Mus musculus: one gene and its partners. The protein of the gene in region 3 interacts with the protein of the main gene of each other region in a biochemical or structural test. Links are inferred from orthologs where the notes say so. Each region holds a gene or a part of one and is shown on either strand. Other genes may lie near its edges.

Region 1 (5,213 bases), on a different chromosome or scaffold from region 3:
TCTCTCTCTCTCTCTTTCTCTCTCTCTCTCTCTCTTCCTTTTTCTTTTTGATATTAAGAGTACAGGTGTCAGCCAGGCCATGGTGGCACACACCTTTGATCCCAGCACTTGGGAGGTGGAGCCAGGTGAATCTCTGAGTTCAAGGGCAGCCTGGTCTAAAGAGAAACCCTGTGGGGGGCTGGGGGGGGTTATTTACAGGTGTCAGGACTGTCCTTTTGTTTGGTCTGGGTTTGAGGCTGGCCGTGGGTTCTTAGCTTTGGTTGCTCTTTAGAGGCATCCAGTCCTTTTGACAGTTAAAATTCGATGCCAACAACCCCGCCCTAGATAAGCGAATCAGGATGTGTCTGCCAGTGAGGGCAGGGCGGGCTTAGGTGTTTTCAGACACTCTTGAGGAAAAGCTTGGCTGAAAAACCCTAGGTGGCAGTCGGCCTAGGAAGGGAGCTTCCTGGGCGTGGAGAGTCACCTGTCACCCGTTAGGGGCTAAGTCACACCTTTCCTAAGCGGCATGCCAGCCAGCATCCATCATTTGACCAAGTTTTACTTTCAGGCCTCTGGCAGGTGTGAGGTTGTGAACAGGCCTCCCCTTGTGGGCTTCATTTGCCTTTCTCTTTCCTTCTTACTAAGCAGGCTTGGGGGAGGCTGAGGGGGTGGAGTGGGGGGCTGCTGAAACAAAGGATGAAAGGGATGAAAGGAAGCCTAGCCAGGTGTGGATCTGGAAGAGAAAACAGGACTGGAGGAAGGCAGGTACCAAGCAAGGCCCCGTGGTAGGAAAGCCTGTTCTCTGATCATAGGGGATGGAGAAAAGTCAAAACCTAGTCAGCTGACTTGTCCGTTGGGACGAGGGTGGTGGTGGGGCGCTGTGTGCTCTCCCTCTGGACTCAGGGAGACTCATGGATGAACTAAATCTACCCAGAGGGCAGTGTTCTCCACGATGGTTGCCTGTTGTCTGACCATCCTCCCACTCCCCCACCCCCCACCCCCAGTGCTGGGAGTCTGATTCTATTCCCTGTTGTTACCTCCAGTGCCTAGAGACTCGATGCTAGCTGGTGCCCCAGAGGTTTCCGTAGACCCTCTGCTTTATAGGTGTTTATAACCCCATACTATGGGGGTGTGGGTTTGGTTTCCGAGGCCACCCTTCCTCCCTGTGAACGTTCCAACACGATTTTCAGGAAGTCGGGAGCCTTAGCCCTGGTCCTTGCTACCTCTGCCTCGCACCTGCCCTTATTGGTGTTTCACAATGCAACTCTAAACACGTCCGTCCTCAGCTGAAAGTCCTTCCGTGACTCCCCAGTGCCTGTAAGGCAAAGTCCAAACTCCTCCAAAGACCCGAGGCCAGGAAATCGGACCCCTCAGGGTCTGCCCAACACCAACCTCATCCTGGAACCTGCTCTCAAAGGTTGGACAGGCAGAAGTTACTGATTCTTACCCCGGGCCTTTCCCCTCGGTGCTTCTTCACTTCCTCTAGGAAGTCATAGACACCCTCCCCTGTCAGGTGACCGTTCATTGACAGTCACAGCTGTCTCTCCCCACCTCCTTTCATCAAATCACACCTCCCTTTAGTATTCGAATCCTCTGTTTATTCTGTCTGTCTCTCTCTCCCACGGCCGGGAAGCCATCCTTGCGTAGGGCATCCCTGGGTAGTGTTTTGTTCAGGGCTGTGTAGACAGTTCCAGGAACCCCTAAGCGCGTGCATATCATCGCACTTTCTGGCTCCCCAGCGCCCAAAGGTCAGCAGCTCGGGGATGTTGCGGGGCACCGCGCTCGTCGTGGGGCAGGCGCGGCCACCAGGGGTCGCCCGAGGAGCTCGGAAGCCGCGCGGTCCGGTCCGGGAGGAGCCCAAGCGGAATCTCAGCGCCACGCGGCGGGAGCCCCAGCAGCCCAGGCGCACCTGCTCCGGTCTCAGTCTCCGGCCGCGCCGCCGCCAGCCATTGGCTCAGCCTTGACAAAGGGGCGTGACCAACAGTACGGTCACGCCCCCAGCCCTGGTACTTAAAGGAATTTGCTGCTGCTAGGGGATCGTAGTGTGCGGCCGGGCCTCGCGAGCGGAGTTGACTACCGACCTTGCGCGACCCGGTGACCCCGACTACCTAGGTCGCTCTGGCCAACATGCCGCGCTCCTTCCTGGTCAGGAAGCCGTCCGACCCCCGCCGGAAGCCCAACTATAGCGAGCTGCAGGACGCGTGTGTGGGTGCGTGGTGGGGTGCGGGACGCGGGCGGCTGGGGGGGATCCCAAGGGTGCTGGGGGGAGGTGAGAATCGGGCTCTGCGGGCGCGACAGGTGGATCTGGAGCTCCGGGTCTTGGCAGTTGGGATCCACCGAGGGTGTCTTTGACCCGGGACGGGGAGGCTCCGGGAGTTGAAGACTCGAAGGCGGGGGTAGCTTTGCGGAGTCCGGGCGGGGGAGGGGAGGGGCGGGCGGGAAGCCCCCCCACCTGGCGCCCCGAGAATCCGCTCAGCTGACTCCCTGCTGTCTCTTCTCTTCCCGCAGAGTTCACCTTCCAGCAGCCCTACGACCAGGCCCACCTGCTGGCCGCCATCCCTCCGCCCGAGGTCCTCAACCCCGCCGCTTCGCTGCCCACCCTCATCTGGGACTCTCTCCTGGTACCCCAAGTGCGGCCGGTTGCCTGGGCCACCCTCCCGCTGCGGGAGAGCCCCAAGGCCGTAGAGCTGACCTCGCTGTCCGATGAGGACAGTGGCAAAAGCTCCCAGCCGCCCAGCCCGCCCTCGCCGGCGCCGTCGTCCTTCTCGTCCACCTCGGCCTCCTCCCTGGAGGCCGAGGCCTTCATCGCCTTCCCTGGCTTGGGCCAACTTCCCAAGCAGCTGGCCAGGCTCTCGGTGGCCAAGGACCCCCAGTCGCGGAAGATCTTCAACTGCAAATATTGTAACAAGGAGTACCTCAGCCTGGGCGCTCTGAAGATGCACATCCGAAGCCACACGCTGCCTTGTGTCTGCACGACCTGTGGAAAGGCCTTCTCTAGGCCCTGGCTGCTTCAGGGCCACGTCCGCACCCACACTGGTGAGTGAGTGTGCATAGCTGAGCTCTGAGTCTGGGCTGTTTGGCCTTAGACCCTGGGGGGACTCAACACTTACTCCTAAGGCTGCCAAGCAGTGGACAAAGTAGATGTTGGTTGTTCTCCATTCTGTACCTTGCTGTTCGAGGCTAGGAGTGAAGAGGTGTTCCCTATCCGGGCTCAACCCACACTGTAGAAGTCAGACAGGATATTGCTAGACAGGATATTCTGCACCTGGCCTTGAATCCTGAGTCGAGAACTTCCCCAGTTTCCTCGTTTCTAAAATGTATCAGAGAACACTTCGTGGGGTCTTTGTAGAGTGAAGTGCTAGGTGCAGGTGCCACTAAGAAATGACTTCCCAGTGACTATGAAGACGGCTCAGTGGTTAGAGCACTGGCTACTCTTCCAGAGGTCCTGAGTTCAATTCCCAGCACACATGGTAGTTCACAACTTAACTAACTGCCTGTTAAGAGTCCAGTTCCAGAGGACCTGACACCCTCATACAGACATACATGCAGGCAACATACCAATCCATGTAGGACAAGAATAGAATAGACACATCTTTTTTTTTTTTTTTTTTTTTTTTTTTTAAGAAGAGAAACAAAGACATGACTTTGCTGTCCTCTCAGCCTTGGGCCACGTGGGAAGCTTCTAGAAGTGAGGGAAGGCTTCAGCCAGGCTTGGTGGGGGTTCCGGTTGGGCTGCTCTTTGGAAAGTGTGTCAGGCTTTGGGGTAGAGCTGTGCGTCTCTTGTGGTGGCCAGCATTGGGGCAGTGAGGCCTGGGGGTGGCAGGGAGGTATTTGCAGGTCTCACTGACACCTTTATTACTTGAATAAGATTACCCGTTTCCCCCCCCCAGGCACGGATTGCCTCAGATTTAACCTATAAAAGTGTAACAGGCTGCCTCTCTCCGGCTGGGTTGCTAAGCTGTGGGGCTCTACTTTGGGGAAGAGCTGAAGCCCTCAGGGTCCTAGGCTGCCTCCGACCACCCCCCACCCCCCAGGGACTTTGTTTTGATGTAAAGGCATGGCTCAGACAAAACCCTCCTTGAAATGCACCACCCAGTTCTCTAGGAGTTCCATTGTGTGTCTTAATGGTAGCCCAGGGGGTGGGGGCCTGCAGGGTTAGAGCAGGTGCACGGGGCAGCGGTGCCCAGCACCTGTTCTTGGCCGCAGCTGCTGGCTCATTGCACGGCAGGCCCCTTTAATCCAGGGGGTATCACATGTACAGTGTCCCCCTTAGTGGCCTTTGTCCCAGCCGGCCTGGTGCCGATTTCACACTTGCCAGGAACACTATGAAGGCGTCTGGGGGTCGGGGATCTGTGAAGAGAGAGAGAGTGTGTGTGTGTGTGGGGGGGGGGGTGTCTACACTTCCTGTGCAAGCCCAGAGACTCCCAGCTCCATCCCACCCTGTGTTATCTTGAAACCTCCCTTTTGTTAAGTACTTCAGTTCGCCTGTCCCTGCTAAACGGACAGGTAGTGGTTAGGCCATTCTAGGGAGGGGGCAACACCCCTTACTTGTAGGGACCCACAGATTGCCAAGGTCCACCACCACCCAGGGCTTTGGAGCCCCACCTGTGTAGCTGAAGACTTGTGTGGGTTTGTGCCCCCTAGGGGGGCTGAAAGCGGCTCTGTTCAGTGAATACCTGCTGAGTGGGTGGATCCCGCAGGATCCCTGCTGAGATTTCCTCTATCCAGAGGCTCAGCACACCCAGGCGCCATTCCTCAGCCCCGAATTCCATCACTAGAATCCAACCAAAGGGCACCGCCTGTGGACTAGCAGGCTGGGAGGGACGGGAGGCTTGCCTTGTTTTGAAAATCCGTTTGGCATTACAGCCTCATGCTTGGCACATAGTAGGGGTGCAGCAGATGTTTGGTTTTGTCGGTATTTGTTAACTCAGCCAGACTGGGTTTAAACCAGAGACCCTCCTCCCTCTGTCTCTACAATGCTGGGTTACAAATATGGACCCCCAGGCTCAGGTCCCCTTTTTTAAAAAGCACATTTATTAATTCAGGTATTCACTGAACAGAGCCGCTTTCAGCCATCCTCGGGGGCACAAACCCACAGAAGTCTTCAGCTACACAGCATGTAATTAAGCACTTACTGGACACAGAGCCCCCGTGTGTCCTTATAGCCCTGGCTGGGCACGGATCCGGTCAGGATCCCAGATGTCTGTAAGCCCCTGGGCTTGCAGTTAGTTAAG
Region 2 (5,165 bases), on a different chromosome or scaffold from region 3:
ACCTCTACTCTCCTTGGCCAAAGATCCCTAGATCCCAACGACACTAAATGATGTACACCTGAGCAACTTTCCCTCTAGTGTGCATGCAGGAATGCGCATTGGGGGTGCGGGTCAGTTTAGGGACCGGGACCTACAATGCCTATAAGCATACTTCCAGAATCGTGAGTCATGTCAGTGTAATTATATTCTAGCTTTTTAATGTATATACTCTTATCAAAGAGCCACTAAGTTTTATTTTATTTAGCACCCTCCCACCCTGATCTACTACACTTGTAACATTTGCCAGCTGATCATGGTATAAAATTATCTGAAGAAAACTGCCTAATTGCTGCTTAAACTATCTTAAACACAATACCACCAGGAATCACTAAGCCCAAGACCAATCTGTGTCTAAACAGCGTCCTATGAACTCTCGCCTAGCACACAGGCACACTCACTTCCTACTCTGAGTGAGCACTAGGGCGTCCACAGCACATGGAGGGAGCCAAGCGCTTCCGATGTCTGCTGCCTGCTGCAGTCTGGAGTCACGGCAGGATTTCTAGCAGTCACAACTCCTCAAGCTGGTCTTCCTCATATTTCCCCAGTTTTCTTTCGCTCAATTTTAAAGTTCCCTAGATTCCAATTTACTTCTCATTTCTTCAACAATTCCAAGAGCAAAATTCTAAATCATATAGTGATCCCACAAAATACACTTTAATGAAAAGTCACAACCTGAATGCACTAAGTGTAGGAATAAAGAGTCACTGCCGCCCACCATGGAAATTCTTTCCTTTACCTTTCCAGAAAGGACCTCTTTTTGGTAGCCAAATGAGCAGTGTCCAGAACAGAAACACGGATAGGGCTAGCTTAAATTCGAGACACAGTACCTTCCGTGCATTAACTATTTAAAATTTGTGAACCCATACTTCCCCCGGGGTCTCGAAATCTAACATTAGAAACGGTCACTGGTAAATGTTGCTTCCAAAAATGATGTAAGCCTAAGTCAGTACAAACGTTCCCCCGCCAACCTCCCGGATAAGGGGAAGTGGATTAGGTTTCTCACAGGAAAACGAGCGCTCCTGGGCCTCGCCTTCAGACTGCGGGAATACTCGCCGCACCCACTTAACCCTTGGCTGCCTGAGGCCGGAGGGTGGGGCGAACCGAAACCGCGCAGCGGTGACTTTAAAGCGCTAGTCCTTGCGTCCGCGCCATCCGCAGCCACCTCCCCTCCTTGGCTCCGCCCAGGCTGGTGCCTCCGCGCTAGTCCCCGACTCTCTTTGTCATGGCGGAACTGTGTCAAGGAGCCCAACCTACTCCGACTGTGAATCGCCCCCCCACCCGGGCAGAGGGAGGAGCAGTCCGTGCACCCGCCCCAGTCGGAGGGTGGTGGTGGAGGGGGAGCAGATCACCCTCCCCGGGGGCCCGATGCCATCCGCGCCCGCAGAAGCGGAACCGCGGCCGGCCCGCGCCGGACACACCCCGCTCCCGCCCAGGGTCCCCTCCGCCGGTGTCCGACCCAAGCCCCGATGTCCCGACAGCTGCGGTAGGGGGAGGGGCAGGGCCCCACCCAGACAGGCGCAGCCCCCATCCTGGGGCCGCAGCTCCTGGAAAGATGCGAACCTCCCACCAGCCCAGGACGCTGGGGACCCCGTGCCCCGGTACCCCCACGCCTAGCTCTGGCCGCGCCCCTCCCCCACCGCGCGTCCCGAGAGTCCTTTCTGGCATTGCGGGCCCCAGCGAGCCCAGCCCAGGGTCCCTGGCGGGCCCCACCCCAGAGCCCCGCGTGCTACCTGGCTGCCCCCCGCCGTGGGGGAGGGGGTGGCGGGGGCGCCCCGGGTGGGGGCGGCCTCACCTGCGCCACGGCCGAGTCACAGTCGCGGGCGGAAGCAGGGTGCCGGCGGGGGCGGATCGCGGTCGCCCTCGGGAGCGGGAGCCCCTGGGTCTCGCGCGTGGGCGCCTCATCCGCCACCCCCACCCCGGGGACCAGAACGGGGCGATGAGCAGCCCGGCAGGCCAGAAGCAAGCGGCCGGGGGCGGCGGTGGGCGCCTGCCCGGGCCCGGCAGAGCCGAGCCGCCGCCCGGGTCCTCCTGAGAAGACCCCTCTCGGGCCGCAGCGCGGCGGCGGGCTGAAGGGACCGGAGGCCGACTCGGGCGGCTCCTCACCTGTGTCCGGAGTGGGTGGCGGCACACGGACGCGGCTCGGCGGTCTCTGGGCGGCGGCGGCAGCAGCGGTGGCGGCGAGGCTGAGACTCTGTCCCTGATCTGGCTGCTCACAGGCTACAGCCGCTCCGCAGACACGGGGTTTCCTCCAATCACTAGCCCCGGCAGCAGGGGCACCACACGCACGATGACGTCAAACGCTGCTATGGCAACCGTTGATTGGTGCCCACAGTTCTCCGGCCCGGCGCAACCGCCGCTCCCCTGCGCGCGCCCGGCCGGCCCGCCCGTGCCCGAGGGCGAGCGGAGGAGAGCGCGTACTCGCGCTCCGCTCCGCTCCCGACCCTGCCTTCACCCGCGTGCTCGGTTCGCTCCCCGCCGCCCCCGCGAGCTGCCCTCCCTCCCCGCCCCTGCGGCCCGCGGAAGGAAGCCTCTCCCCGCCCCCACCTCACTGGCGGGCACATCCGGGACCTTCGCGTTCCCCCCCACCCCCTTCCCGCTCGGCCGCCCTCTCTCTGCGCCGGTAATGGCGGTGGGCGGGTTGCGGGGCAGGGTGAAGGCAGCTCTACTGCCAGGGCATTGTGATCAGAAGCCGAGAGTAGGGCAGCGGCTCCGCCAACGCCGGGGCAGGGAGGCCCGGGCGCGGCTGCTCCCTCGGGCGGCCCGCTTTACCTTCTGGCTGCAGGAAGCGGCCTTAGACCTTTTAAGGCTGGGAAAAGCGCGAGGCTGAATGACGCCCTGCCTTTCCAGTCGCGAGCTCGGCGTCCACACCGTGACAGCCGCGGGGACAATGGGTGGTCGCTGGGAGGAGCGGGGAAAGGGTTGGGCTAGCGGGTTGGACGTGATCGTAGAAGCCTGACGTGGGGCGAGGCGGGGAAACAGGCTAGAACACACCGAACTGTTGTCGTGGGCTGCACTTTACCCTCTGTAGAGCTTTCATTGGGAGACACATTGTTCCTAATTAGCGCATTGTAAGAGAGTGACCGACCCTTTTAGGTCCTGGAAGCAAGGTTAGGGAGCGTGGCCGTTCCTAGGGCTCTAGCTGGAGGAGGAGCGAGGCTCCTCCGCCCGGAAAGGGGGGGGGGGGAGGAAAAGGGCGGAAATTGCAGGTGCCTGAACCCGCAAGGTCTCCACCCAGGAGACGGAAGTTGAAAGGAGATGCAGTCTCTATGAAGAATCTGTCCTTGCTCTCTTTAAATGTGCGCCTCTGAGCTAAAATATTTTCACTGAGCCCCTTCTGGGGCCTACACTAAGCACAACTGGAAAAAGAACCTCAGGAATTCAGCCCCAGAGCCCCCTGGAAGACTTCATGACAAGCATTCTTTCCCTACCACTGTCTTTCATCAGAATGTTGGTTACATTGTTTGAATCACAAGTTTGTTGTACAAATTATAATTTGCCTGAAATGACAGCTAGGTAGAGATTTGCCTGTGACCAGTTCAGTGTCGCTCCCCTCGCCAACCGCCCTCCCCCCTCCCAACACACACACCGGTTTCCACAGCAACAGATAACATGCTAAGCAGATGAGCAAATTAATTCAGGTTTTATCTCCAAGATACTGAAGTCAACTTACTTTGGCTGTAATGTAAATTCTTTCAGGGAGTGACTCACTTAAAATGACTATTTCAAAAGCTTTTATGTTTGCAGTTTTGTAGTAGGTGCTAGAAATTTGACAGAAGATACTAGGTTAAATCTTTTGTAAAATGGAAATGTCTGTTAATGTCTGTAATACACGTCTATATGGAATATACACCTCAGGGAAAGTTAAGAGATTTCTCTGCATAAATTGCAGACTTGTTTTGGAAAATAGTTTGGGCTTTTGCCTTGTGCATTAACTAGCAAGGTTTCTTTGTGTTTTAATAAACCAAAAGGTGCTTTTAGTTTTTACAAACTCCAATCAACATGTTTGCCTAATAAAGGCATAATAAGGCTGCAAGGGGGCCAGAATTAGATTTGCCATGGAAGGTCAACTGAGAAGAATTCTAAAGAATAATATGTAGCAAAGCCAAAACCCAGAGCCTATAGGCCTGAAGTATGGGGAAGTTACTGGTGAGTTTGATTAGCTGCCCAATTGTCTTCCTGTCTTCTTTACTTGGGTCTTACTTCATGCAGTTGATGTCTCCGCTATACTTTGATAGGCACAGTAGTAAAATATCAGCAATAAAAGTACTACCATCTGTGGCTGAGGAATGCATGTGTGTTTTCTCCATGTAGTTTACTGTAATTACATTTTGGGAACAATAAGGGTGGTAGCTGTCCCTGGTGTTCAAAACCCAGTGAAAACGAAGTGAAACAGTTAAAAGTGGTAGGTCTAAAGTTCAGAGATGAACGTGTTAGCCCAACACTAGACATTTCATTCAATTTCTGTCCCATGTTACACAGTAAGGTAAAGAGTTCAAGTAAATTAGCATCAGTCTGTCATTCCAACTGGAAACACGTGTCAAGGGTGATCTTTTCAGTCATAAACAGTCCCGGCAGGCTATCGTCTCAGCTCTGCATCATTTGACTGAGTGAAGCTTAATGTGCGGGACTCTGCAATCAGAAGAGGGGCAATCTTGCTTTGTCATCCAGAGGTCTGTTCTTTAGCTTACTAAACTGGACACACTAATTCCCAGTCCCATAAGATTAAACACCGTGATTGAGAGAGTAAAGAGTGGGCTGTATTGTGCTGTAGATTCTAATTTCCATACCTGAGAAACTGGAAGTAGAAATAGATACAGACAGCTGTTCCCCAAATCCTCTTCTCCAGTTGCCATAGTTTGGATCCCACTGTCGAGTCTCTTGGAGCTAGGTGTGGCCCACTGACCAACTGCTAGGCAATGGGACACAAAGTGATGCCCTCTGCTTGTGGACCTGAACCATAAATCTTCCCCACTAGACATGGCTGAACCCCAAATCTGCCAACCAAGTAGCAGACCAGCATGTCACCCACAGACCTCTAGCACAGGCAGTAGGCACCTGCTTGCCACCACACCACACAGCGCAGGCAAAACATGTCACCCAGGGGTTCGTCAGCCAGGTGTCCAGCC
Region 3 (4,481 bases):
CCCACCAGGCCTGCCCTACCATGATGCACAGCATCCCCTAGAACTATTAAGCCATCCTTGAGCTGGCTTTGTCTGGAATTTCTTCAAAGCAAGCAGAGAAATAATACCTTAAAAGATTGTTTTAAAGCTTTGAAACAGGAACCAAGAACCTTCAATCTTCCTTCCTTCCTTCCTTCCTTCCTTCCTTCCTTCCTTCCTTCCTTCCTTCTTTACTTATTTTTACTCTCTCAGGACAGACTCCTAATCGAATACAGCCTGACCCTGATCCTGTCATCCTCTAAAGTGCTGAGATTATAGACATGTGACACCTTCTCCACCTGATTCACCTTCAATTTGTTCTACGTGCTTACTTTCTGAGCTCTATTCCCTAGTTAATACGGTGGAAATAAAAAACCCTCTTGTCTAATTAGGAAAAACAGAAGAAGTACTGACAAAGACACCATCTTTTCAGACTGTATTGCTTAGGACTGACACTACTGAAATTAACATGAAAGCTACTTTCCTTCAGAGGTGTGAGAAAAGTGCTAAGACTAGACAGGTTTAATGTTAATTTAAATCAAGCTACACAAGTTAAAGCCTTCAAAATGAACCATGACAAAAATGTATACATAACATCTTTATGTCAGCATTTTGGAATTAAATTAAATTCAACTCTCTATGCACTTATACCTTGTCCTTTTAACATTTTTCTCAATTAAAAATAAACTTCTAAGAAAGAATGGCAGCTCTGTATCATTACTTTCCACAGCTGTCTGCTCTACTACCTGACGCTAGAACTTGCTAGAAAACCCATAAAGGACAAAAGGAGGGACTAAATCTTGTTCTGGGAAAAGTCTGGACCCATTCAGGACCCCACATGAATAATAATCTTCCTCTCTCCATGGCCCTAAGATGATTTACTCAGGATCCCCAGAGAGTTTGGAAGCCCACATTCCTGTCAGTATGCTCCCTCCCCCTGCTGTAAATGACTTTGAGTTGGAAGTGGCAGCATTGTGACCTCTCCAAGTCAGCTCCATGTCAGCTGCGGGGTAAATATGGAATTAGACTGCTGTCATTGAGAAACAGAAAAACAAACCTAACTCCTAGTTTAACAGCACAGATATTAAATATATGTTTCTAACTAGATTTGGTAATTCACACTTATAATCTCAGCACTCAGGAAGCTGAAGCAGGAGACCTGCTACAAGTATCAAAAGTTCCAGGGTGGTCTGAACTACAGGGTAAGACCCTATCCATCCCTCCCCTATCTCACCTCTAAAAAGAAAAATATATGCTTCCAATCATCTACCACAACTGTAACTAGGACTATACTATATAAATCCCTAGCTACACTGCTGTAGTTACATTTAAAAAAAAGAGGGAATTAATATTCGATACCAAAAACTAAATAATATAATCTGTTTAAAACTGACAGTTTAAATCTCTACGATGAATGCAACAAATATATCTACAAATGGTAATAAAGCATTACAAATGAATATGAAATGAACTCTACATTTATTTAGTGGTTTGTTTTGGTATGTGGCACAATGAAGACATCGAAAATGAAAACAAAGCTATGGGGTTGGGAGATGTCTCACTGGTAAGAGTATTTGCTGTACAAACACCAAAACCCCACCCTGAATCTCCAGCACCATGAACAAAGTTGAGAGTAGGTACACTTGGCTGCCAGCCCAGCCCTGGGTAGGAAGAGCGACTGAGACAAGCCCCAACTAAAAGCTTATATAGGGGTCAGGAAGAGACCAGTTCAAAGGAAAGGTGAAAAAAAAGCACAGTGTCTGCCTCCGGCCTTCACCTGAGCTTCACCTCCCCACAGCACACACACAAGGGCTAACACAATTCAAATCCTTAAGTGAACTTTACTCTATTTTATCAGAAGATTTATCTCAATTCAATTATCACATGAGCATGTGTGTGCAGGGGCACGAGCCACACACGTGGACGGTTAAGGACAACTTCAGGCAGCTGCTTCTCTTCTACCTGAGTAGGTTCCAGGAACAGAACCCGGTTATCAGCCTTGCACAGCAAGTACCTTTTTCCGCTGCAGAGTAATGAAAGCCTTAAGAGGACTCCATGCTATAAAACTGTGTAAGAATTCAACACAATCTAAAGCTTGCTGTTTTTACAAGGAGTAACCAGTGTCAATGGGGTTGACACATCCCAACCTTACCCATGGCTCACACAAAATGTTCTGGAAACTAGAAGGGGTTCGTTCCGTCGTCACGTACCTTGACATAGATCACAGGGAGTGTCTGCTTGGCTCGACTATAGTGTCTGGCGACTCTGTACACTGTCTCCGGAACATAGTCCAGCACCAGGTTAAGGTAGACCTCATCTTTCTGTAAGGTTTTTAAGAACAAAAGAACAAAAACAGATTAGAGACTGATCTTAGGTATTCAAGTGAGAGCAAATTTTCTATACACCTCTTATTCAGATGTTTAAAGAAAAGCTTCATATGGTTAATTTTAATTACACAAAATTACTTTTGAACATGAATAGAGCTGAACAAATGCACCTACCATACTTTATAATCCCAGTATAGTTAAGAGTCCCATCATGTTGCTTATACTGTGTTATGATAGCTTATCATTTATTATAATGTTTATTATTTTTTAGGTTAAAAAAACATCAATGTCTTTTCTCCTATGTGGAAAAATTGCTTGAAGATGCATTGAGTCAAAAGCCAAGAAACCAGGTTGCTAGCCCAGGCTCTGCTGCCAAGTGATGTGTATGACTGATGATATGTCCCGGCTTCAGTTTCTTCAGCTCATAAGAAAGGATGAACTAAGCATTCTTTGAAACACTATAGCCTCCATACAAATGTTTTGTTTTTCTGAAAGGCTACAGATCACTAATATAACAAACTTATGGCAATGAGGTCATACCCAAAAGCTTGTCAATTAGTCTCCAGTGTAGCATCATAAAGACAAGAGTTCAAGGTCAAGAGAAGGAAAGGAGGTACAGGAAAGAGAAGAAATCACTAGCCACACCCTGTTCTCTGAACAGCACCAGTTGGGTAAACTGAGGGAGAACAATGAGGTTAAGGATTACTATTGGTTACTGAGTGGTGAAACTGTTCACAATTCCACCTTATCAAACTGGAGTCTGAGTCAGTGTTTTGGGTGCATCTCCTATGGATCAGAGATGCTACAGGAGGGAGGGGTAGGTGAAGGTACAAAGTTACCCATGTGGAACTCTCTGCTCTACTCTCCCACTCTGTGACTAAAAACAAGTATATGTTTCTTATCTTTTAAATGAAGACTGAAACAACAGAGAGAAAACCCTATATTTAAGATATGGGTTCAGAGCATTCCACAGAGCCAAAAATATCTTTTTTGATGGTCTTTCTTCTTCCATAGTCAACTGGAATACTAAGTCTGCCACTCTCATCAGCACAGGGGAAACAAACGATGCTAATTATCTTTATAAACACAGCTATACTCCACCAAGTAAACACTGCCTATTGCTGTTTGGGGGCTAAAATGACAAGAATCAAGTAGTTGTGGCAGGGACTGGGTAGATTTCAAAATAGCTTGCAAAACTGAAAGTATCAAAGGAAAAAAAAATATGTGTGTGTTTTTTGTAACTCTGGATATATTAGCTTTCTGCACAGCCTGAACTCAAAGCAGCATGGCTACAAAATTGTGTTGACTGGTCTCATATTAAAATCATCATCAATAAATTAAGTTGGAGTTGAGAGACAGATTCTATCTTGGTTTAAATATCTGAAGTCCCTGCTAAGAATCTTGGGTTGGAGCAGTGAGGTACATGCCTCAAGCCCAGAGCTCGGGCTCATGAAGCAGAGGCAGGAGGATCTCTGTGAGTTCCAGGCCAGCCAGTCTAGTCTACAGAGTGAGTTCCAGAACAGCACAGTGTTGGGTGAGACTGGAGAGATGGCTCAGTGGTTAAAAGCACTATCTGCTCTTCTAGAGAACCCGAGTTCAATTCCAGAACTCACACAGCAGCTCACATACTCTAATACAACAGTGGACAGGCAAAGGTTAGCATCCCTTATGCAAAGGGAAAAATAGTAGAAAACGAAAATCAAACAAGATGAGATTAAATCTTAGCTCTTGGATGATCATATGCACTTCTCCCACCAAATGTTAGTTTATGACTTAACTAGATGCATTCATCAACAATTCACAGATTGTACTAACCAAATAAAAGCACCAGGAGACAGGTCTGACAGTCAAACTGCAATCTCTTGTTTTAACAAACTGTCTAAAACTGACACCACTAACAATGGCTCAAATGGAAGAGCAAGTACGGACTGTCAAGTCTAATAGGCCAGACTGAGTGAACTCTTAATGAAATTTACCAAAGCAGAAAGCCTTATAATGAAAAATCAGAGCATCAATATACAAAGATCAGCCAGACAAAACCAAGACCAAAGCTGACAGTCATCTGGAAGGCAGACAAGTGGTATAACTACGGAGAACTCAAGGGGGGCCACGGGGGCACTCCTAAGGGAACACACG

What was found. The genes of interacting proteins can lie anywhere in the genome.
Region 1: of the proteins of Gsk3b (region 3) and Snai1, one has a biochemical effect on the other in vitro, tested with the Homo sapiens proteins (2 studies listed by BioGRID). The link is inferred for Mus musculus from reciprocal best matches to the Homo sapiens genes GSK3B and SNAI1.
Region 2: the proteins of Gsk3b (region 3) and Ywhaz form a complex in vitro, tested with the Homo sapiens proteins (2 studies listed by BioGRID). The link is inferred for Mus musculus from reciprocal best matches to the Homo sapiens genes GSK3B and YWHAZ.

What each region holds. Positions count from the first base shown.
Region 1 is NC_000068.7:167,536,184-167,541,396, forward strand, and holds the start of Snai1 (zinc finger protein SNAI1), read left to right. Parts: upstream 1-2,011; 5' UTR 2,012-2,106; coding exon 2,107-2,188; intron 2,189-2,487; coding exon 2,488-3,015; intron 3,016-5,213. UniProt on the Homo sapiens protein: Involved in induction of the epithelial to mesenchymal transition (EMT), formation and maintenance of embryonic mesoderm, growth arrest, survival and cell migration.
Region 2 is NC_000081.6:36,791,337-36,796,501, forward strand, and holds the start of Ywhaz (14-3-3 protein zeta/delta), read right to left. Parts: upstream 3,203-5,165; 5' UTR 2,809-3,202; exon of another isoform or gene 2,584-2,808; intron 2,343-2,583; exon of another isoform or gene 2,340-2,342; 5' UTR 2,143-2,339; intron 1-2,142.
Region 3 is NC_000082.6:38,182,293-38,186,773, reverse strand, and holds part of Gsk3b (glycogen synthase kinase-3 beta), read right to left. Parts: intron 2,340-4,481; coding exon 2,229-2,339; intron 1-2,228. UniProt on the Homo sapiens protein: Constitutively active protein kinase that acts as a negative regulator in the hormonal control of glucose homeostasis, Wnt signaling and regulation of transcription factors and microtubules, by phosphorylating and inactivating glycogen synthase (GYS1 or GYS2), EIF2B, CTNNB1/beta-catenin, APC, AXIN1, DPYSL2/CRMP2, JUN, NFATC1/NFATC, MAPT/TAU and MACF1.